Linked DNA regions of Schizosaccharomyces pombe. The protein of the gene in region 2 interacts with the protein of the main gene of each other region in a pairwise test. Each region holds a gene or a part of one and is shown on either strand. Other genes may lie near its edges. The genes, in order: mei3 and snz1.

Evidence for each region.
Region 1: the proteins of snz1 (region 2) and mei3 interact in a two-hybrid assay, tested with the Schizosaccharomyces pombe proteins (2 studies listed by BioGRID).

The regions. Positions count from the first base shown.
Region 1 is NC_003423.3:711,728-729,186, reverse strand, and holds mei3 (protein Mei3), read right to left. Parts: upstream 9,469-17,459; 5' UTR 9,382-9,468; coding exon 8,935-9,381; 3' UTR 8,197-8,934; downstream 1-8,196. Other genes in the region: serine/threonine protein kinase Vps15, read right to left, coding at 1-2,869, 2,927-3,504, 3,579-3,706, 3,759-3,844; copper chaperone Sco1, read right to left, coding at 4,637-5,428; lsb1 (SH3 domain-containing protein), read left to right, coding at 6,844-7,734; cmt1 (catechol O-methyltransferase 1), read right to left, coding at 10,421-11,221; ubiquitin-conjugating enzyme Ubc4, read right to left, coding at 12,961-13,206, 13,578-13,655, 13,735-13,854; 19S proteasome regulatory subunit Rpn3, read right to left, coding at 15,092-16,470, 16,515-16,610, 16,657-16,675; UDP-glucose--glycoprotein glucosyltransferase Gpt1, read right to left, coding at 17,253-17,459. UniProt on the Schizosaccharomyces pombe protein: Acts as a critical meiotic inducer by binding non-covalently to protein kinase ran1/pat1 inhibiting its enzymatic activity. Inhibits ran1/pat1 by acting as a pseudosubstrate for ran1/pat1 instead of its natural substrate ste11.
Region 2 is NC_003424.3:5,409,116-5,416,693, reverse strand, and holds snz1 (pyridoxal 5'-phosphate synthase (glutamine hydrolyzing)), read right to left. Parts: upstream 1,757-7,578; 5' UTR 1,509-1,756; coding exon 618-1,508; 3' UTR 501-617; downstream 1-500. Other genes in the region: mtq1 (S-adenosylmethionine-dependent methyltransferase), read left to right, coding at 1-343; spd1 (ribonucleotide reductase (RNR) inhibitor), read right to left, coding at 3,831-4,205; histone lysine H3-K36 methyltransferase Set2, read left to right, coding at 5,880-7,578.

The DNA.
Region 1 (17,459 bases), on a different chromosome or scaffold from region 2:
CTTTCTTCGTACCTCCATCAAGAAGGCTTCCTAAATATATCTGAGCAACTCGTGATCCTTCTGGATGCCATTCATGAGTCTGAACTATTTTATTCGCAGCCTTCGCAGACACCTTTGTTCTACGACGCAAAGGTATATTAGAAGCCCAGCTTGGTGAAACAGCAGCACCAACGTTAAGTGTCGAAGCCGCTGCTTCTGCATAAATTTTATTTAAATAATTTAAGACGCATGGATTAGTTCCAGTATACGATGATTTTTTTGCGCCATTTTGCCTCGTGGTAAGCTTTTTCAAATCGATATGAGTAGTAAATGATCTTTGGCTTCGAATACCGGCAACATTAGTTGTATCATTCGTTGAAACCCTAGAAGAGATCAACGGTGCGAGGCTTTTCCCCTTCGATTCTTTAGCATGTTTGTCAGAATCTTTAGAAGAGACTATTGCTTCTACAGAGGAAGGCTCCAAAGTATTATTTGTGAGTAAGGGGTTCTCAGTATTATAAGAATTCAACCCACCGGTATCGTCCGTTGGTTGAGTGACTGTGGGATTGTGTGTGTCAACCTTGGAGCTAGCAGTGTCTGAAGGTAGTTTAATTTCAGGATTGTCCGTTTGTCTGTATACATCATGAGTACCAGTAATGGTCTCTCCATTATCAGAATTAGACTCCCTATTAATATCAACTTTGATATCTGATTGTGAAACGTCTTTTGGTTTTGTGGTCGTACCAAAAGCATTAGTCATATCCGTCCCTACATATGCAATGGGATCTCGAGCAATTAAGTCATCGTTATAGGAGCGGCTTGTTTGAATGGATTCTGCATAAGAATTTCTGTCCAAGAAAGTTTCATTGGCGATAGAAGACGAAGGGGGTCTTTCTGGGTTCCAAAAAATGGTTTCTGGTAATATGTGCAAGGGAGCATTAGGGTAAGTATTCAGTTCCCGTAATCCACTTTGTCGTTTATAGTTGATTCCATTTAAATTAATTTTCGTTTTCTTAACATAATCTCTCAAATTAGCCAGTACCCATAAGTGCTTTACATCAACTCCCATTTCTTTAATGATGTCAGCCCATTTCTGGTCATCTTCACTAAGCTCTAGCATTTCTGTGGAAGTTATAATCACATGGCCAGTTAGAGAGATTTTTTTGTGAGTATACACTTCTGCGTGGTGCATTATTTCTCTCTTTTGCAAATTTTTGGTTCTTCCTAAAAGCGAATCATTGCTTACATCAAGAGACGAGTAAGACGCATCTTTATCACACTTCCAAAAGCTTGAGTTTTCGGATTCTTCATACCAGCGGGTCAAAGTAGACCAAACACTATCAGATACCATAGGCAAAATAAATTGATCTAGCTTTTCTAAAGAGTTTATATCACATAAATTGGACATCAAGTAAGGTCTTAATAAAGGAGTTACAATACAGTCCCTATCAATATCATCAAAACTTTGATATGCAGAGTAAATAACAGACAAGGCAGCTCTTCGAATATAAGCATTAGGTACAGCAACAAGTGGAAGCACAAGCTGTAAGATATCAACAACAACAAGCTTTTCAAATAAGTGTAATTCGATCAGTCCAGAAAAAGATCCCAAGACACTCTCAAGGACAGCTGGCTCAGGATCTACTAAAGCCTGCAGCATCAAGGGAAGTATATACTCATCTACACTCCTTGGACCGATGAAAATGGATAGACCGGTAATACTTTCAAAAAATGCACAACGAAGCATCCAATCCGTGTCATTCAAGTAAGTTATCAGATGGCTCAAAATCAAATCGTTAGACTTTGCTTTACCGAAAAAAACACAAAGCGGAGCCAAAGCATTCAGCAAAGATCTACGAACAATAGAAGAGCTGTCCGCTAAAAGAGTAGAAACGTGCCTTTCTACAGTAACTACTAAATCGTGTCGACCGGTTTCAAATAACAATTCAGCCTTTCCATGATTTATATTTTCATATTCGGATTCAGGAAACGATAAAATACCAGCATTCCTTAATGATTGAGCCAAATTTAAAAATTTGGAAGCTTGTTTGGCTAAAATTGGAAGGCAGGATGCATATGTTGCTCGAGTACGAGAATTCATATCGAAAAGAAAATGCTGAAGGTCAGGAAATAAATACTCCTGAAAAAGAAATGCATTAATCGGAGCAATAGAGGTTACATTACTAACTAGGCGAGTAATCGTAATAAGCGCACTAATCCTTACATCGGCGTATTGGTCACGAAGCAAAGTCATAACAAAAGGTAAAACTGTATCAAGTTTGGACTCATCGCAGATGTTCCTTGATAAAATTTGCACCAAACTTAAAGCGTTTATCTTAGATTCTCTTGTATTCACGTGTCTAATAGTGGAAAGAACTATGGGAAGAAGAACAGCGGCACCATAAAGATGATTTTCATCCGTTTCAATAGATGAAATATCCTCAATGACTGAAGGAGAAGGTGCAGGTGTGGAACCTTGCTCTTTATCCTCAAATCCTTTTTTTTCTTGCATAGTATTATACAGTCTTAGATACCAATTCTTGGCAGCAGGGTTTTTATTATAAAATTCATCAAGTGTGGTAAAAAGGGGTACAGAATAAGAATCTATTCCATTATATTCATGAGGGGTGTGCATAAGGTTTGAAATGTCATTATTATTTGGGGGCATAATATCTCTGTAAATGTCGTCAATTCGAGAACCATACAAACTGCAAGCGTCATTAGGCTGCTTGGCAGAAAGAATTCCGCTTGGATCGACTAAACCAATACAGTAATCATACAAAGTGTCATAAAAGCATGCAGGAAAAACGGTTCCTCGATATTTCTGCAAATAGGCATCAGCCGACAATCGTTGACTGGGATCTCTGTCTAGCATACTTAGAATCATGTTCTAGAAGTATTATGTTAGTAAACTAACGTAGAATGAATTCTATATAAGATTTCTTACTTGGGTACTCTTATCCTCGATTTGCTCAAGAACAGACTGTAAATCGTAAGACCCATGGGCCTTGTAGCTAAAAAGCTGAGAAAGCGTAAAAAGAGGCGACTCCTCCAAAAGCAGTTCTGCAAACACACATCCAAGACTAAAAATATCCATTGCAGGCGATAATGGAGCAGGTTGTAATTGCGATGCAGGAACAAATCTTTCGGGAGCGATATTACAGACTCTTCGAGATGAAGTGTCAAAAAAATAGCCGTAGTCAGCAGGATTATCCTCTGGCAAATAAGTAGGTTTAAAAGAGCTAAAGTCCGATAGATAAGCCCAATTCCAAGAAGTAATTAAAATGTTTTCCGATTTAATATCACCATGACAAACACCAAGTCTATGACAATCGGAAATTCCCTTTAATAATTGAAACATTATCCACTTTTTTTCAGTCAACTCAAGAAAGGGCCTAGTAGAAATTCTATCATACAAATTGTGAGTCACGTATGGACGCACCAGGTAGGCAGCGCGAAGCGTAACCAACGTTTTTATATAGGGTACGGCATTTGGCACTCTATATGAGATATTCTCTTGCTCCTCTGTTGTTTTAGTTAGTCTTTATTCCCATAATTGATGCGATTCGCGTAAATGAGACTATAAACAAATGACCTACCCTTCAACAAATTTACAATGCTTGACAACGAAATTTCCGGAAGTTTATTTACAAATACTTTGATTAAAACATCATATCCCTTGCGATCTTGCATGCGAAACGTTCGCAAAAAATGTGAATCCCCTAGACTAAATTTCGTAACGTTAGAATTGCTGGGAGAATAAGAATTCTTTGACTTACCTTCTTTCATTGTGATATTCTGGAAGCTCTTCCTCGAACAATTCATGGAATTGGGGGGTCTGGATAGTGGAAAGCTGAATCCCCATAGGTCCTAAATGTTGCTTGCACAGGGCATCACTTAAATGTAAAAAGGCTAAGGCAATGTCGTAGATGAGATGGGCCTTTAAAAATCACAATAATGGTATAACGAACAATATTTGTAAATATCCTTATATCGTTGAAGATTAAATCTACTATAGATGAATTGTAAATAGCAATGAAAATAGTGAATACCTTTACTAGATAAGAGCAAATTTATTTTTAAATAGATATCGAGGAGAAGCTAAAAGTTCTTTGCATGCATGCAGATGACTTTCCCAATGAGATATTTCAGCTAAACAACTTTAACATGTAAAACGCACACGGGTTTCGTACATTATATGAAGATACATAATGAATTGTTTTTATTAAATATTTTAAATTGATTTAAATAAGAGTAATGGTAAAATCAGTTTCTTCATTTATTTGCGTTAAAGGTAAATGCATAGGGTTTTTGGATATGAAAAGATAGTATCATAAACACCTTCCAAAATATTCAATTTTTTCGGATTTTAAAAATAGTAATAAATTAACACGTTTTTAAATTTCCAGTAAGAATAAACTTGCAGAAAGGGGTTTTCCCCTTATGTCGAAATATTTCAAACCAGAACGCAGCGCTTCTCTAGCTAGGATTCAACAAAATCATTTTTACGAATCAAAGAGAAAAAGAAAATAAATCTGTGTACCGCCAGAAAATAGTGGGAAATTGTTTTTAAAAGTATTAAGTAAAAATTAGTGAATATGGAAAAAGTAGTAACCCAGCATAAAATCAAAACACATGAAAGGCTAAAGGTATTTAATTATTTCTGTTTCTTTCGGGACAAATAGTAAGAACCGATTGCACGAGCTAAATCTTCAGAGGTAGAGTTGCGACCAAATACTTCAATGAACTTACCCTCTGGATCCATCAAGTAGAAGAATACCGAGTGGTCAACCAGATAATCATCCTTTTTAGGGTCAATGTTCTTAGGGGTAGAAAAATAGACTCGGAATTTTTTACAAATATCTTTTATTTCTTCATAGGATCCTGTGAGACCAACGATTTTAGGATTGAAATCTTCAAGGTATTCAGCCATTTCTTGCGGAGGATCACGGGCTGGATCACAGGTTATGAAAATAGGATAAACCACGTCTCCAACAACATTGTTTACAATATCAATAGCTGCTGACATTTTGTCGAGCTCGTCGGGGCAAATGTCGGGGCATCTGGTGAAACCAAAGTAGATTAAGGAAAATTTTCCCTTGAAATCGTTATCAGTAACTCGATTTCCATGATGATCAATTAAAGAAAAAGCACCTCCTAATTGGGGACGACCTATGGTAGCCAAAACCTTGTCGTTTTGCCTCTCCAACACTTTTTTCTTTTCATGTTGGAAATAAGCATAAAGGCCAACGCTTGTTGCAGCTGCAAGAAGCAATGCTCTTATAGAAATCATTCCACGCCATGATTGGTATGTCTGCGTTCGATTGTCAGTAGCTAGATTTTTGCGACCGTCGGCAAAACGCGCTAGGCACGTACGATTCAAAGGAAATCGAGGACGAATCAAGCTGTAATGACAATGCCTAGAGAAAACTAAACCCCTTCGAAACATTACTTGATTTGAGTGATTGCCAACAATCGATTCAAAAATCGTAATATTTGGACAAGACAAAAAACTGAAGTTAAAACAGTAACAAAAGTATAACCAAGACTAGCAAGTTTTAAAAAAATTTAAAATCTTTTCTGTCTCTTCAAATACAAAACGGAGAAAACAATTTCTCACAAAGAATAAGCCTCTCCAAGTTAGTCCAATTTCACGTCAGTATGGGTATTTGGGTGGTAATGAAGACGTTGAAAATAGAATTTCACCAAAATTACTGCAAACATTTTAGCGTTCAAAAAAAACGTAATTTTATCGCTAATCCTTTAAAGAGTTCATATGCATATAGCCGCTTCTCCAATGCTGTAATTTCAATGTAATCTAAGTTTTAATACGAATGAAAATAGACACAAAATATGAATTTCGTCAAGGATCAGAATGACTTATAAATGAAAGAATCATTACTCAAACGGTTACTTAGCTTGTTCAAATCGCTATATTATAGTATGTGATTATTGAATATTTTTTTTTGGAAGAATAAAGACCATGCATACCGTCTATGCGGCTTTGCTGGAATTGTCAAATATACACAACTTGTGAGATTTATTTTTATTTTTGACAAATAATAAATTTCCGTTGGAAACCAATTATACTGCGCTGAGACGCATTTGTTGAGAGATTGAAAATTCAATTCACACAGCATTCTAAAGCACCAAAATCATTTTTTTAAAAGCCCAGATTTCAAGTCAGGATACAAAAATATTACTTCTACTTAGGGATGTTTTCAGGTACCTGAAGTGAGATTTGAAATTGAAAAATATCGTCTGGATAACTATACTAAGGACCTTTTTTATTTATACGAAAACACAGCTAGTGCCATGCTTTTTTGTATGTTTTTACGAATATCTGAAAGCAAAGGCTCTACATACGGCGAAATTTAATTGAGACATAACAAATGGTTAGAAATTCCTATTTCATCAAATTGTTCGATATTTTGTAGCCATACCTAGGAAAAAATTCTTTCTCAAATTTTCAATATTTTTTCCTGATACATTGAACTTGACAGTTCAAATGTTCTAAGTTAAAAATAATTCCACTTAATAACTTGCTCACATAATTCAATTTTTTGAAAAATTCTAACGAAAACTTATGGCACACAAGTTCTCATTTTACTATATAAAAGGATTTTTTTAAAAAAAATTGCATTGTTTTTCAGCCCCGGTGGAAAGCATTGGAATTTTGGCGCCACGATCTTCGTATGTTTTTTCCATATATATACCTACCAGGTATACACACCAAGCGGTAGTTGTAAACCTACCTTCCGCCATTACCACTAATCAGCAAAACTTTTAAAGATTGATAAGAATTAACTGAAATAATTTTTATTTGAGATCTTAAAGAGTTAAGTAATAAATTTCCATAGAAATATGGATCATAAAAACTACCTGAATCATGTTATTCGTGGAATCTACAACGACTTCCAATTCCTTGTTGATGAGGGCGTAGTTGAAAGGAGTGCTTTGGATTGGGTTCACGCAAATATCCATTTACAGGACGGTCCCGCTAGTCCTGTAACTGCTCCAGCTGCTCAACCTGTTGAGTCCTCAGTACCCCTTCCCTTGCCCAAGCGGAAGAGCTCTGTGGAAAAAAGAGCAGGATCGGTAGCGTCTGCCGTAGCAGCAATGTCTTTGTCTCAAAACTCTGGAGAAAAGAGGACACCCGAGGAACCTCGTAAGCTGCCTGGAGTGCCTGCCCCACAGAAGCAAAGCGAGGCTTCAAGTGTCAATTCATCTACCGAGAAGCTTCCCCCTCCTCCCAGCTATCCTGGACCCAATACTGCCCATAAGAACGTTGAGCGGGTTTTGGCGATGTACGACTTTCCTGGCCCTGATGCTGGTGATTTAGGTTTCCATGCTGGCGAAGTTATCATTGTACTTGAGCATGTCAATAACGATTGGTGGCGTGGTGAATTGAATGGAAAGGAAGGAATCTTCCCTTCTAACTATGTGCGTTTGTTGGAAGATTCTGCCGTTAAAGCTCAACCTCCTCCTCCTCCACCACAGCAAAACTATCCCCCAGCAGCATCTTCTTCGGCACCTCCCATGCAGTATCAGCAAACAGCATATCCACCTCAGCAAGCACCATATCCACCTGTCCAAGCCTATCCTCAGGCGCCTCAACAACCCATCGTGGTTGCACAACCGACCGAGCACAAGCACTCATCAACATTCAAGAAGATTGGTAGTGGTTTGGGTTCTGCATTTGTATTCGGTGCTGGTGCAACTGCTGGCGCTGATCTCGTCAATTCCATTTTTTAAATGCGAGTTCGTTTCTTTCCTTTTTCTATGCTTTTTTTCTTCCTTTATATAAGTAAAACTTTCTGTGTGGTTGAACTAGCACCTGTGTTTGTTATCGTTGGTGCGCAGTTGTTTTTTATTTTGAAATTTCCAAGTAGAAATTTCCGTATATCGCGAATGCATTTCCCTTGTTCATGTTTACTCCTTTGGTCTTTTGTCTTTTTCTCGACTATGCTTTATGCTTATAAAGCAACACCGCGGCATAGCTGCTTCTTCATAGATTGAGACACCTCATTTATGTGTATGAATTCGATATCCAAACATTGTTGCATATTCTTTATGATTATCGATGCGTACTATTAAATACGCATGTCTCTTGACTTTTGTTTATTTTTAGTGTTTTTCTTTTTACGACTTTCATACCGTTTATATTTTAATTCCATAATAAAAAAAATAAATTACAAAGCAAAAATATGATTAATAGGGAACGAATGACAGTGTATTAGATTTGTTAATATGCTATGGTAAATTGTTCTATTGCTTAACGTATATTAAAGCAAAAAATAGTAAACGGATGAGGAAGTATAAATTAGGTAGCCTTTGTTAGAGATTTAATTACGATGTCCGGTCAGAATCGTTTCCATTAAGCAATAAAAAAGAATCGACGTGGAAATCCCATGAATGTAAAGACTCACATTATTAAAATGGGAAGATAAAGTAAAAACTGGAGACAGCGAATGTCCAACAAAAATGGAAGATGTATGAATAATGATGAATCAAATTCGGTAACACGTTGATGGGGATTCCAAGAGAAAGTAGCAGAATTTCAAAAAAAAAAGAGAACGACAATAAAAATGAACCTTTGTTTAAAAATAAAAGAAGTCAACACACAATAAAGAATAATGAGACTATGAACAGAAATGAAACTCAAGGGAGAATTGTTATAAAAAGCGTCTGAAAGCACTGGGGAATGAATGAAAGGACTAAATTTGTTTTAATTTTTTTTCTTTTTTGTTGTAAAAATGGAAAACATGAAAATAAGTATGCAAGTTCAAATATAATAGCTGTATAGTTAGGATGAAAATTTCCTATAACAGCGGTTTAATTAATAAAAATTAATGCTCGAAAGAGAATTTCTTTCAATTTTTATGTGGTGTTCATATTCCCCTTCGGCATTAGTCATTCAGGATCGAAGAAAATTAAGCTAATTTAAGCAGTTGCTTAGCGAGAGGTGTTGTTTACACGGTCGGTGATGTCAAAAGTCTCGTTAGGTCGAGGAACATGAAATAGGTCCAGGATGGTTAGTTCGTTAGTGAGGTCTGAGGGAGAAAGAACTCTTTGGACAGGCTTAATCCTATAAACCTTTTCAGTCTGAATATTTTCTTTATTTTCATGTTCAATGCGTTGTGCAGGGGTTCGGCGAACACGTTTAGTGCGTTTCATGGGAACGCTATGTACCGATCCAGCTTTGGTAGAACGGCCGCGTTTGCTTGTAGAGCTGATGAAAGTGGTACCGGCATGGTCAACAGTTTTGGTGTTAGTGTTAGTACTGGAGCTTCCAGTACTAGTTCTGGGAGAAGTTGAGCGTCTTGCCGTATTGGTGCGATTTGGTAAAGCAGAAGCGCTGCTTGCTGGGTGACGGCTGTTGGAGGTGTTTTGAGAGCTCATTGTTAGAAGTAGAAAGTGATTGTAAAAGTAGAATATAGTTTGATGTGAATTAGATAATAGAAAGAATAAGAGGATAAGAAAATGGATGCAGAAATGAGCGACTAAGCACTCATACTTATACTAACGCAGCACATTTCTTTCAAACCCATGGCTCACGGAGGTTTTTCAATTTCGTGTAAAGTATTTGATATTTGCAAATGAAACAAAAAAAACTATTAAACAAATAAAAGATTATTTTTTTGTATACAATCACAGTACAGAAAGTGAAAATGCAAAATTTAGAAAATGATAGTAAAGACCAAATGAGAAGTAAGAAACAAGTATATTTTATGTTTTCAAATGAACTACTACTATTATATTTTCTACTCTTCATTTCCAGCTTTTAATGCTTGCGAAGTGGCATGCTACGCGGCGCGACACGCTTTTCATTTAGAGAGCAGCGTAAACAAATCAAACTCGTGTTAAGTTTCGATATCATTCGTTAGATTTCCTTAAAAAATAACTCAGGCTAAACAACATTGAATTGAATAACGCAAAAAACAGTATTACAGTAATGTGTTTTTAGAGATTGCTACATTCCACAATGCAAGCTTACCACTTTGCTTTCGTGCTCGCTCAATCATTGCATGAAAGGTAGATATATCCAGCTAGGTGTTCTTCGTATTTGCGAGTAGAGTAATTAGCAGTGCACATTTATAGTATGCAAGTTAACGATTTCTTTAGTACTTCTCTATTGACGATCATGCGTTCATCTAACAGAATGGGCACATTCCAAATGTAATAGTGAACAGGAAACTTAAATTACTATACTATACTTGACATTTTACACATCGTTTTTAGAATCAAGCAACGGGATTAAAAGAGAAATCAATTCATTGTCAACTATAATTTATAACATTAGCAAACAATATCTGGACGAGCAAAGAATGGGATCCCAGACACGATTGTATGCTGTATAAACTGGGCTTCAAAAGATCGTAAAAGGTATCAGATACCACATAAAGTCAATTATAAAAAGATTAGGGAATGCCTTTGGTACCTAATCTTTTTTAGCATAGCCAACACACTCCGTAACGTCGACAGCGTCTTTGCGGTGTTTATTGCGAATGACACCCTCAAATTCTTTAGTTTCAGTCTTATATATCAAATCCCATCTGCCGATGAAATCGAATCCATTGACATTGCGAACCTTGGCTTGATATCCTCTACGTTCTTCAGGACTCATATTAACATATTTATGATATTCAGGAGCACCAGGTGTTATAATATTATCGGCCACTAGAAGGGTTCCCGGAGCAATCATATTAAGTGATTCAATAACCCTCAAGTCAGGCACATAAAGGTCCTTCCAGTGGTCGATAAATACCATGTCCAAAGCTTGAAAACCAAGGTCTTTATGCAATAATTTCTGTTGCAGTTCGACCAAACTGTCGCAAGCCTTGCCAATCATGATGGTGACTATTTCATCCAGACCGGCCAACTTAACCAACTCGTAAGCAATCTTGGCATAATCCTCATTCACTTCCAAGCTGTAATAACGACCACCAGGAATTTTGGAGATTTCATTTCCAAACAAAATAGCTGAGTAGCCCAAATAGCCGCCTAACTCAACCATGATTTTCGGCTTCCGTTCACGAATTTTCCCAACGATAAATCCACCTTTAACATCTCCTATACACATTCTCACTCCAGATCCGTCTGGATACGTGAATTCATCGATTTCCTTAAGAACCAACTCAGGATGCCCGCGAATCGCATCCAAGCGCTCTTGAGGCAGATTTTGAATGTGTTGCAGAAACAGCTGTTCCTTTTCACTACCGTTGTCTTCCATATGAGGCATGATTTCAAATTTCGAAAGGTTGGTTAAAAGTTGATTTTCAGCTCTGCATACGCAATACCATGCACTTTATATAGTTACGAGGGATGGAATGTTGCTGAATTCGATGCACCTCGTATGTTGTCACTACGCCACGCATCTTTACAAACTACCCACCGTATCATAGGACATCTAGCACATCTAGAGACCGAGGCTCGGTGAGTCAAGACCCTTATGTTACAGCAGTACCTTTATACTTTGCGCCATATGGAAACTTTGGACTTTGAGGCAACAGAATAGCAGACTACACTGCGTTGCACTGAAGGAATTGTGAAATATATTGAAACAAAACAGTGTTTCTGTAAACATAGATCCGCAAGTATATGATTTTACACTATTTGATTTTGGGTGAAACATCAACGCAATTACAACGTATCGTTATAGTTTAATAACAGACTGTATTGAATAATCGATATTGTTCGTTATGTGATAAACATTTCGAGTGCAAATGTACCGGATCTAGAAACATCAGATTCATCTGTATGTACTGCATAAATTTATTTATAATTGTTCAGCTCTTTCTCCTATTGTTAAACTATTATTATTGTTATGAAGTACATGATTTTAATTCGCTAAATTCGATCCACACCGTCAAGTTTTTATGCGTTTGCAACTCAAAAACATGGTATTTCGCTACAAACTCAAATTGGTTCCGATCAACTGGTTATTTTTTATGTTTAAGAAAACATTTCATTTTACATTTCTTTCAACTTTCCTTTACCTACTAAAACTTCAACTTAAACAAGCTTATGATTTATCAAGTTTCTTGATTTTAAAAAAATGACCCCTAAGTGACTTGAACACTTGACTTTGAGATTTGGAATCTCACACTCTACCAACTGAGTTAAGGGGCCATGTATATTCTCTAAGCAAAATAAATAATATATAACAGTTAATTTAATAAATTTTTATTTTTCTTTTATGTTACAGGATACGAGAAGCGTTTTCATAAAAGTAAATATTCCATGAGTAAAGAAGAGTGAGAGGGTTAAAAAAAAAGCTCTTACAAAATATATATCTCAGTAATAATGAAATCAAAATTTTCGTTGATTTATACTCAACATCACAGCATAAAATAGCTCAATAGACGACGTTGTAAAGACAAATACAAAACTAGGAGTTGAATTGACTGGCTATTATGAGTTGTGTCTATAGCAGTATCACTTCGTATTGCATGTCAAGTATTATCATTTTCTTTTCAGCAAAAAGGCGCTACAAGGAATTTGTTTATTACTTAGTTTTGTTTAATAAATATTTTTAGCAAAACCTTAAAGACGTAGAGCCGTTTACTCTCTTCGTAACACGACTTTCCATTCGTGTTATTCTACTTTTACTTGCACAATATTTCACTTAATCGGCAGTGTTTACGTACCTTTTTAAAAATATATGCACAAACGCTCTTGGAATAATCCAACTGGACCCATTCGGTCTTATTAAACACAAAGAAAAATTTTGTACTATTCAAAAAATCATAAAAATTATCTAAATCAAATCATACTTTATCCTCGAACATAATACAGTTTGTTTTAAAGGCAGCTTGTATCCTCAATTTTACGATGCAACTTTACTAGCTACATTATCGCCATCCCCTACTATTTATTTAAAAAACCAAAACCAAAAAAAAAAAAAAAAAACTATACAATACATTGGAGAAAACAATTCGCAAAAGAGATGAATATTTAATATCAACACAGAAACAAACTCTAGATTGCGTATTTTCTAGTCCATTCACGAGCACTTAATTCATAACGGGATCTGTCAGTTTTGTAGACGTGCGCAATTTCAGGCACAAGCGGATCATCAGGATTAGGATCTGTCAACAATGAGCAGATAGACAGTAATACCTTTGATATAGTCAACGCTGGAGACCATTGGTCACGAAGGATATCCAAACAAATGCTACCGTTTGAATTGATGTTGGGATGATAGATTCTGGTTGTAAAGTTTACCTACGAATATGCTGTTAGTTATCATTAAAAAAAAAAGACTATCAATCAGATTCGTAATGCTACGCAATGTAATTGCCCTCGCTTCACTTGGATGGACGCAATCGTATAAAAATCGATAAAGTTCCGCTGGTAAAACATAAAGAAATGAAGATAAAAGGTAAGAGTAAACAATTATAAAAAAACTTCTGCGTATACTCTTTCACCATAACACTTAAAAAATTTTGCATCACTGTCAACCATACCGATTTTTCCAGAAAAACAAGATGCAATCAACTCTTCAATTCATATTGTATATAACAAACTTCCTCCTCCGATTCACAAGCTTACAATGCGTATTTACATAATCTACACAAGACTAAATAGTTACATACCTTTGGTGGCTTGAATGGGTAGTCCGTAGGGAAATGAATGGACAAGAAGAAGACACCACCCGCATAAGGGCTGTCAGCCTATATATCATGTTAGCTGCACAATCCTAGCAAGCAAAATTTTGGCAGTGCGCAAGGCACTATTACAGCCGCGACTTACAGGACCCATGATTGTAGCTTGCCAATGGAATAAATCATCGCCAACAGGGCCGGCGGAACAAGAAGACGGTGGGTCTTTTCCAAGATCAGCTAATTCACGGTTAATTCTTTTCAAAGCCATCGTTACTGGTTTGCTTTTGCGATTTTACAAAGTCAGTAGTTTGCTCGTGGAAGAACGTGGACGGAGGTAGAAATAACATATAACCGATGGATGCACTAAATCACACGAGTTCGACTTTGTCTGAGTAAGCAATTTTTCAGGATGGCGCAACTTGCTTTGTACCTGCAAAATACCCGCTAAACAGTTTGTTATCCTTTTAAGGATACGCTACGTTACGATAAATTTTTTCGGGATCCAGCATACTATTGTATTACAAATAGGGCAAAATTAAAGAGAATTACAGATATTATATTATGGGGGCGGTATTATAACGATTTATCAATAAAAGAGCTTGTAAGTGAACTGAAGAACGAGGATCAGTTTAACTGACGACATGATGGCTAACTCAGAAACTATTTTACTTGTGAAATACAATATAGACTATATCAGTATCTTCCCGTATTTAGCGAATAGAGAAACCGGACAGGCGATATTTGATGATATGCGCCGTAGCGACCACAGCAGAATACACCATTGCTCAAAATATCGACAAAATTGTTAAATTACTATAACGTAAAAAATGAGCTTGCCGTTCCACTTTAAATATATAGTGTTGATCATATCTACTAACTTAGCTAAAATTGACAAAGTGGTAATGGGAGAGACTAATGTATAGCTTTGGTTTTATAAAGTGTTACTTAAGTCACGTTAGAAAACTAGCTTATATCCACTGTGGTTATTATTTTCTGCCGGAAGCCATTTTATAGCATTGCTTTATTTGCTCTAGTTATGCATAACAAAAAATAAATTTGCACAAAAATTTTTTGCCCATTTCGCCATTTATAATTAAAAAGACTAAAGTATACCTTTGATTGGAACCATAATCCAAGATCAAATCTGTATTGCTTCACAGCATAACCATAAATGTGTTTGCATACGTGTATTATATACGAAATATAAAACAACAAATTTGAAAATAAAGCACACGACCATTCTCCAAACCCCTGTGTTTTTAGCGTATTACTCATTTATTACAATGTGCAAAGACCAAGTCTCAGTTTAAACAACAAACGCATTTGTAGCGTTGTAGCACCGATCGAAAACTGTTTTTCAACAACTTTCCTTCTGTTACAGCTTCGCAAACTCACTAAATATTTCAATCTGTAAACTACATATAGTTTTCATAGACATTAAAGAAACATACAACTGAACAACTTTGAAAGTATATTTTAAGATCTATAAACTTTCCATAAGTTTTTTAAAATTCGCCCAAATCAGGCTCATCGTCATCTAAATCTGCCTCAGCCATTTCTTTATCCATACGCCTACGTGCCTCTTCCACACCTTCGAGTTCACTTTTGTGAGCATCCATGGGATATCGCATACTTTTTATGCTGTCATTATGAAGGGCAAGACAAAACTGAATACGTTCATGAAAAGCTTGTTGAGGCTGCTCGGTGGAATAAATATCCATGGCTTCGTTACTAGCCATAAAGGCATTACTATGATCGATACTTGCATCAATAACTCCATCACGGATGCCCTTAGCAACAATGTACTCGGCACTCTCTTCACTGTCCAAACCAAGCTTTATACAAACATCACGAAGGGAAATACGGGAATAAGATAAGGAGATCATCCTCAATCCAGTCTTAATGACGGTATGGCGAAGGCGGCATATCAAAGTATACAATCCATCGAAGCGAAATTCAGCCTCATACTTGGAAAGCGCGTCAGTGAAAGCACAAAGGTCACCAATACGAACTGCCTGGCTAATACGTAAGTAAGGCACTAAAGTTTTTTCGAGAGATTTTTGGCGGAAAATGCGGCGTTCGGGAATTTCTCCCATAAGCAATTGTACGACGATGTGCAATTTGTAAACAGCTTCCAGAAATTGAACGGCATATACTGTGTTGGGAGCCTTACGTATAGCACTAACTAAATGTTCATGAGCGGTCGTGTAGTCAAGTTGAATGGCGCGAATTCGACCCAAATAGTATTGGTAGCGAATTGCCAAGTTATTACTAGCATTCGTAAGAAAGGATGTTTTCGAAACGAGACGGTCTGCTTGATCATATAGGTTAAACTGAATATAATTCCGAAGAAGTAATGTCAAAACCATAGCTTGAGTTTCAGAGTCGTGACGTAAAGATGCAGTACGATGAACGGACAAAAGAGTGTTCCTGCATTCTACAGACCTATTACATTTTTCAAAGAATAGTATGTAATAGAAATATAACTTGGCTGCAATTTGATCCAAGGTTCGTCGATCATAGGATTGCAAACGGGCGATTACCTTCTTAATATATTCAGCGCCTACCTCATATTTTTCATTATAATAAAGTGTCATGCTAAGAAGCAGTTGTAAGTACATATCCACTTCCGGAAAAATTGTGTTGCCATTTCCATTTGTAATAGAAGTGGAAGAATCATCACCATTTTGTGGCATATCAATAAGTTCCAATAATTCATTTTTTAAAGAATTATCAAAAGAATAATACTTCTTAATTAACTGGCCTAAAACATCCGCATTCAGTCTATGGCAAATGTTGGATGTGGTTCTTAATGATCGATAGACAAGTCTGGGATCTCTTTGTTTGGTGGCTTGCATTAAGGCAGCAATATTTGCTTCCACATCTGATCCTTGTTAGAAATAAATAAATTTTGACGCATTAACTCACCTTGCAAAACTGTTCTTGGAACTTCAGTTACAGTGTTCTGTTTTGTTTCACCAGAATCAACATTTTCTTCTTGGTTTACAGAATCAACCTGCATATCTTTTTAACGTTAATAAATACAAAAACTTTCCCATCAATAACAAACCTCTCTGATCATCAATCATATTGATACTGGTACTTGGTAGTGGTTACGTTCAGTGGAGGGCATATGCCTAAGCTTACGACTCACTGTGCTGTATACTTCCTCCCTATGATTATAAACACGAATATATTAAATGTTCTATTTAGTAAAGACTTTTGAATGCAATATTTATTACAGCATAATAGACGAATAATGTTTGAACAAAGTAGAAGATAGTATCGAATAGTTAAATAAATGAAAATACGCGTCTTCAACAAACATTCAATAAACGTAGCATTGCTCACGATTAGTTGTTTCTTAGCACCATAATCGTTGTATACAACTTGTAGAATGCACCAGCAAAATGGTCCTAACAAGATTGGAGGAAAAAATTAACTCATGACTAGCTCATTTCAAACGGACGACATATACTAATTTTGACCCCTTTTAATCCCTAAAGCCAATACTCTCAGTATTCAAGCAATTCATTAAAACATTTTGATTTTAACTCTTTTCTCTTCTAACTTATGCAAATTCGCAAGTAAATTAGAAAAACGATTATAAAATTTCAGGCGTACAATCACGAATTAAATAATATGAAAGCAAAAGAAAAGTATGTTTCAAAGTTCGTCCGGAGATGAGTTGTTATCCTTTTCTTCAAACTCTTTATCTGATTGACTAGAGGCGGTTTGCAATACGGATGCTATCTCATTATCGTATGAAGTCCATTCAGAGACTTGCCTACGTGCGCGATCCAGCTTCTTTTCTTTAGTTAAAGGATTTTGACATAAATCGATTGTTTTGGCAGTTTTCAAACTTTCATCACT
Region 2 (7,578 bases):
GTTGCTATGCAATCCTCCTTATATATCTGATGATGATTTTGCTGCACAAACCGACATTTCTGTGCGCAAATACGAGCCCAAGCTGGCTCTTTTAGCTAAAAACGGAGGTAATGAGTTTTATTACAAATTTAGTCAGTACATAAAAAGGATGTTACAAAGAAACGCCAAGGATTTTGTACCTTTATCCTTAATAGTTTTTGAAATCGGTAGCACTCATCAAGCTAAAATAGTGAAATCATTATTTGATGATACCAACTGGCAAGCGAATATTGAACAGGATGGCGCACATCAAGATCGAGTGGTAATAATCACCAGAAAAGATAGACGACTCATTGACATTTAAAAAGACTTCATTTGCTAAAACACAAAGAAATTATAACGCACTGAATCAAACATCGTTTTGAATCTGACCTGACTTACAAACATTTACGACTTTAGTCATAAATTCCAGACTAAGCTAACACTTAATACAATGATGAATTCAAAGTTACTAGGAGATTAAATCAAAATGAAACAAAAAAAAACTTTTTATTTAGTGAGTAAAAATAATATCAACAGATAAAATTAAACATTAAATGACATCTGCATTACGGAGAATATAAATCCTTCTCTAATATTTACCACCCGCGAGTAGCCAATTTTTCCTTCTCCTCCAAAGAGCTAACGCTGCGACCAACCATGGCGGCGCCCAAGTTCTCACTAACTTCAGCTAAAATCTTAGGATCGTTATAGTGAGTAACGGCACGAACAATGGCACGAGCACGCTTGGCCGGGTCACCAGACAAGAAGATGCCAGATCCTACAAAAACACCATCACAGCCAAGTTGCATCATGAGAGCAGCATCAGCAGGAGTGGCAACACCACCAGCAGCAAAGTTGACAACAGGCAAACGGCCTAATTGAGCACACTCCTTAACCAAATCAATGGGGGCGGCAATCTCCTTGGCATAGGTGTACAACTCATCGGGAGACATAGACTTCACACGACGAAGTTCACCTTGCATTTGGCGAGTGTGGCGGACAGCCTCCACAACATCACCAGTACCGGCCTCACCCTTGGTACGAATCATGGCAGCACCCTCGGAAATACGGCGCAGAGCTTCACCCAAGTTACGGCTGCCACAAACAAATGGAACAGTGAACTTGGATTTCTCGATATGGTTGATATCATCAGCAGGCGTTAAAACTTCAGACTCATCAATATAGTCAACACCAATGCTTTCCAAAATTTGAGCCTCGACGAAGTGTCCAATACGAACCTTAGCCATGACAGGAATTGAGACAGCAGCTTGAATTTCCTTGATCATAGAGGGATCGGACATACGAGCAACACCGCCCTGAGCACGAATATCGGCAGGAACACGCTCCAATGCCATGACAGCGCAAGCACCAGCAGCTTCAGCAATACGAGCTTGCTCTGCATTCACGACATCCATGATAACGCCACCCTTGAGCATTTGAGCAAGACCAGCCTTGACTTGAGTAGATCCCTTAATTTCGGCAGACATGATTAAGTAGATGCGATTAATTAAAATTTACTTTTTCCAAGCAAACAATAGGATGTATAAAGTGGTAAAACGAAAATGCAACAATGATTTTTCTATAGATATAATGGTCTTTGCCTTTAGACAAATGAGATACAAGGATCCTTTAAAGAAAACACCTAAAAATCAAAAAAATGAACCTTTCGAAACTCAGAACCTGACCAAGTTTTTATGTCAACACACAAAATGTGACTGTGATGATGGAAGAAATTAATCGAATAGCAAACAACACTCGCCTTATATACATTTTCATGCTTACCAAGATGTAATATAACGAAGCGTAGCATACACTACTTTAGGAAGTAAATGTCCGAAACCATTTGATTGATCCCGATAAGTATACAGTGGAGGCGCGTAGAAGATGTAAGCAACTTACAATTGATGTTGAAGCGATTTACAAAGAGGCGGATGTCTTTCTTTATCTAAACGACCTGCTAAACCTAACGTCAAATTGTTATGCTTGGAGGGAAAGCACAAAAACTGTTTCTCTCCTAAAGTCGACTTTAATAAAAGAATCCTCCTATTTATTTACATGCTGCAATTATCCGACAATTCATACTTTTGAGATGCTTCGTCATACTTTTAAAACGTACAAAACAATAAAGAATTACTAAATGAAATTGCTCATCATATATCCGGCGTATAAGTCATGTCTTTACTACCTTTATGGAAAGTTGCATACATTTTTTAGCGATCAATGGTAACAGGCGTGAACCGATTGCATCGGAAATATGGATATAAGCGTTCTACCAGATAATTTCTTGGTATGTTACCGATCAGCGTCTGCAATGTCCGTAATTTTTTGATGGATTAGGATACTGACTACCGACACCCAATATTCTTTATCTTATTTTGTGGGGACTGAGGTATCCAAGTCGCCGAAGAATGATCGATGTATCCATCTTGCGAGATATTTGCATGTCCATGGAAATAGATTTTATCAATACTAATTAAGAAGCCGCAAGTAGAGCCTTTCCTAACAAGGGCTTTATGCATCGCTTTATATACGCTGCTTCAATTGTCATTAGATTTTTGTTATGCAGTAATGTTTAACATTGTTTACCTTGAAACAAGATCGTTGAACTGGAAATGTAGTAATACTTCAAGGACTCCTCGTGTCCTGTTTGTTGTTTAATATAAACATACCAGGAATTGATTGGTATAACAATAACTGACTAGTAAAAAAAATCTGAAAAGAAACACATATTATTTATAACACTGCAATGTACCTAAAAACTGAAATACTCGTTTTCCACTGCTGTCTTATAGACTCATTTGAAAGGGTTTCAGCGTTTTTGTATGCAGTCATCCTCCCTATGAAACTAGTTGGCCATAAAGCGGTAGTAATTACTTTTGTTTTTCAAGCTAATAGCGGATGAGTAGAAGTACCAAAAAATTTACAACAAACTTTATCAAAATAACATCCTAGTTGTAAATTTTATGTGTAGATTAATTGATTTTATGGTATCTTTTGTTTTTAAATAAATTATTCCATTTTTCCCTCTCAAATTATTATTTTTTTTTTAAATATGACTGTTTTTTGCCATATTCGCTGTTTAGTTTGCACTTTTTTAGTTAGCTGAGTAACGTTATTACTGTCTCTTTGTAATCTATAAATATAAGCATTTTATTACATCTTTTCAAAAAAAAAATAATAATAATAATAATAATAAAATTTTATTACTGAAACAGCGTAGAATTCCGTGGCATGTTGGGTAATACTTTTCACATGCCGTAGAGAAAATATCAAAAATTGTTTCCTTTTACGTTACAACCCCTACCAACGCCCTAACATCATAAAAGAAAAAGATTTAAAGTAGAAATAACAAGTTACAAAAGTCGCCCGCAACAGGTTACTTTGGTCGATCTACATGTACACCAAAAAAGTGACATTTACTGAGGAAATACGAGGAATGAGTCTTTCAAAAAATTATGTACGTATTAGAAAAAAATTACTATTCAGATATTCAACGACAACAAAGTAATCCATTATAAGTTGGTCAAGCAGAAAACGATAAGCAAATAAGATAAAATAAAAAAAGATATGACTAGATCATTCATAGATGTAAAGAGTTTAATTAACAAGGAGAGACAAATGCCCAAAAGAAGAGGGGGTTTAATTAGTAGAAAATCACTTAGCCGTCACTCACAAAACCAATAATAAAATGTATTAATGGTATAGGGAATCAACAAAGTCAAAGACTAATGAACGAAGGAATAATTGGAACTATGAGGATTGGTGTCAAATTATCCTTAAAGAAGAGATATACGAGATTCACATTTAGCTTATAATCTCTCATTGGTACCCTCCATGACAACGTCAAACGGCTTCAACCATTCCGGTTCTTCAAAGTCTTGAGGAGGATTGGCCCAGTTATAATTAGGAATTGCTTGCTCGAATGGACGCTTAGTACCGTTAGGCTCATAAGAAAATGCGGTATTTTTTAAAGCAATGTTTTCAGAAACAGTGTTGTAAAGCGGTGGGTTATAGGCAGGAAACGTGGTTTGTTTCGACTTGTATCCGGTGGAAATTGATTTACGAACCCGCATTCCCACGTCCATTAAGGAGCCTTGAATGCTTTCGGGAAGCTGAGGACGCATTGAAGACTCAGGCTGCTCAACATGAGTCTTTGTGGTCATAACTCGCTTGCTGCTGTGCATTTTTTCCAAAATAAATTGTCGACGAACCTTTGTGTAGTGTTTGGTTGTGGGAGCGTTTGCTACTCGGCTTTGTGACGTTTAAAGCAGTCAAATTTGTCTGGGGAATGCCTATCGAACACGGATCTCTTTACATTTCACTAACCCACGTTATTCATAAATGGTAGAAAATCTACAAAATTTGGAATTGCAGTTTTATTGCTTTTGCGATTGAGATCTTGTTTTCTTGTGGTTCTGCCACTTTTTCCGCACTCTTTATATCTAAGAGTTAAAGTAAAACATTTAAAGCAATTAAATTCGCTTTCTCTTTTATTGCCAACTGCTTTCAAGGTAACAGCTGAAACGTTTGTTCGTTAAATTTGGTCAAACCTTTTGCAAAGCTTGAAATCGCTTCTTCCTTTGTTCTTCACATGTTGTCTCATCGTAACTTGGCCCCTGTTCGGTATGGTTTTCTTATTAACTTTACTGGCACCGTCGTGCCATGAAGGACAAGTAGCTGCATATAGATTGTAGTAAGTATAGCTTGAGTTAAAGACCTTTTAAGATAAGATACACATATATAAACATATGGAATAGGTTTATCTTTTTTTCTTAGCCTTTATTTTTGTTTAATAGCTTTTTAAAATTAACAATGACTAATGCTCTGACAAAATTTTAGCATTATTTCAATTTCGCCAATGTATATATTATGTGTTTAAACAATATTAACAAAAGTGGTTGGGTTTGAAGAAATAAAGAATCTACCTAGAATTAACAGGATGAGCATTTTCAAAATAAAATGACTTTATTACATACATTCCTAGTTTCTTTCTTTACCGATTCTCAAACTTCTGTTTAATTACTGCTTCAATAGATGCAGGTAGATGATGATTTTACATTAATAAGACCAAGGGAACAAAAAGAATACCAAATATAATTCAATACCACATGCTTGGATTTGTAAATTGAACATATTGTAAACTTACTTGTTCTGGGTCTATCCAGTATGAGCACGCTGACTGCCTCACTCAAAATATTCGTTGAAAAAGCTTTTCTTATTCATTCATTGTTGATAATTAGTGTCTATCTTTGCGTACCATATGTTTTTTGGATAAACAACCTACTACAGTTACATAGTATGATTGATATTATTAATTCAAAGATATTCGCTACATAAGGCGCCGAGTGTAAAAAACAGAGTGAATTTTATTACACTAACAGTGTTATTTCTTCAACAACTATTATGGAATTTCTGGAAAAGAATGGCATTCAAATGTTGCGCGTGATGGTGATTTTTTGTAGATGCTTGAATGAAATGAAAGTAAAGATTTTAAAGCCTTTTCTTTTAATAGGTTTCTTTAATATTTAACACTAAAGTCAAGAGTTGTCGTTTACACTCCGGTACTGTGAGCCCCTACGAGGATTCCGCGAGTAAAGAAGGAACGCCGCCAACAGCCACAACTTCTTCCTTGAGACAATTTCCTGATCTCACTGTTTCTTTGACACGAAACTTTGAAACGTTAGAAGATCTATATGTTACGCATCGAGATATTTTCGGAAATTTTCTAAAAAGAAGATTTTCGGTGAAATTTCAGCTGGTCTTCTTTCTATTGTTTTGGCTTCCTTCGGCAATTACTTTTTGTTCAATAAAACTGTAGATTTTTTAACTTTCTCTTTCTTTTTGTCCATTATCATACAATGCAGACGGCATCATCTCTTTCTGTTTTAACTCCTTTGAATGAGGAAAACGTTGATAGGAAGTCTTCTTGGTCAAAAGACACAATCGCTGTCCAGGCAGTCGGTTCATCACCATCTTCTTCGTCATCTCATGATTTCGAAAGTAAAGAGGATGCCGAAGGGATGAATAAAGACGAAAGTGCTCCTTCCCCTTCTACGTCCTCGCCATCGTCTGCATCCTCTCGGTCTCAAAGCAAATATGTTAGAAAAGAGGCACTTCCTCCTCAACTTTTTCATCACCTGGATTCTGCGAAAGATAAGGCGCTAACTACGTTCGAAGAGATTCAAGAATGTCAGTATGCTTCCGCCAATATTGGTAAGCCTCCAGAAAACGAAGCTATGATTTGCGATTGTCGGCCTCATTGGGTAGATGGAGTTAATGTTGCTTGTGGGCACGGATCCAATTGTATTAATAGAATGACTTCTATAGAGTGTACGGACGAAGATAACGTTTGTGGACCATCCTGTCAAAACCAACGCTTTCAAAGACATGAATTTGCAAAGGTGGATGTTTTCTTAACCGAAAAGAAAGGGTTTGGTTTGCGCGCTGATGCCAATTTACCCAAAGACACATTTGTCTACGAATACATTGGAGAAGTTATACCTGAACAAAAGTTTCGTAAACGTATGCGACAATACGATAGTGAGGGAATTAAACACTTTTACTTCATGATGCTGCAAAAGGGGGAATATATTGATGCTACTAAAAGGGGGTCGCTCGCAAGATTTTGCAATCACTCTTGTAGACCTAATTGTTATGTTGATAAATGGATGGTAGGAGATAAGCTAAGAATGGGTATATTTTGTAAAAGAGATATTATTCGCGGTGAAGAGCTTACTTTTGACTATAATGTCGATAGATATGGTGCACAAGCCCAACCTTGTTATTGCGGAGAACCTTGCTGTGTAGGGTATATTGGCGGAAAGACGCAAACTGAGGCTCAATCGAAACTACCTGAGAATGTCCGAGAGGCTCTTGGTATTGAAGATGAAGAGGATAGCTGGGAAAACATCACTGCACGTCGACAACGTCGTAAAAAGGGAATTGACGAAACTAGCAAAATTATTGAAGAGGTGCAACCTACTCCTCTGACATCTGAGTCTGCTACTAAAGTGATTGGCGTTCTCCTGCAAACTAAGGATGACTTATTAACAAGAAAGTTAATGGAACGCATTTTCTTGACTTCAGATCCTAGTGTATGCCGTTCGATCATTGCGTTACGTGGTTACAACATTTTTGGTTTGATGCTGAAGAAGTTCAGCATTGATATTGAGTTTATACTACGTTCTATAAAAACCATGTTATCTTGGCCACGCCTAACAAGAAATAAAATCCAAGATTCAAATATTGAGCCCGTTGTTCAAGAGTTTTGCGACCATGAGAACGAGGAGGTCAAAGATCATGCCAAAACTCTTTTAAAAGAATGGGAATCTTTGGAGATAGCTTATCGAATTCCCCGAAGGAAGCCTGGTCAAGTTGCTCCACAGTCAACGAACGCAGAACCCTCCAATAATCAAAGTAATCCTCCTTTAAGGGATCAGGAACCACAACGTGGCGATAAGGGAGATATAAAATCTGCAATCAATAATTCAACAGAAGATTTGAGCAAGAAACATCCAGCATTACATTCTTCTAGGCCTAGTGATAGTCGTTCACGTT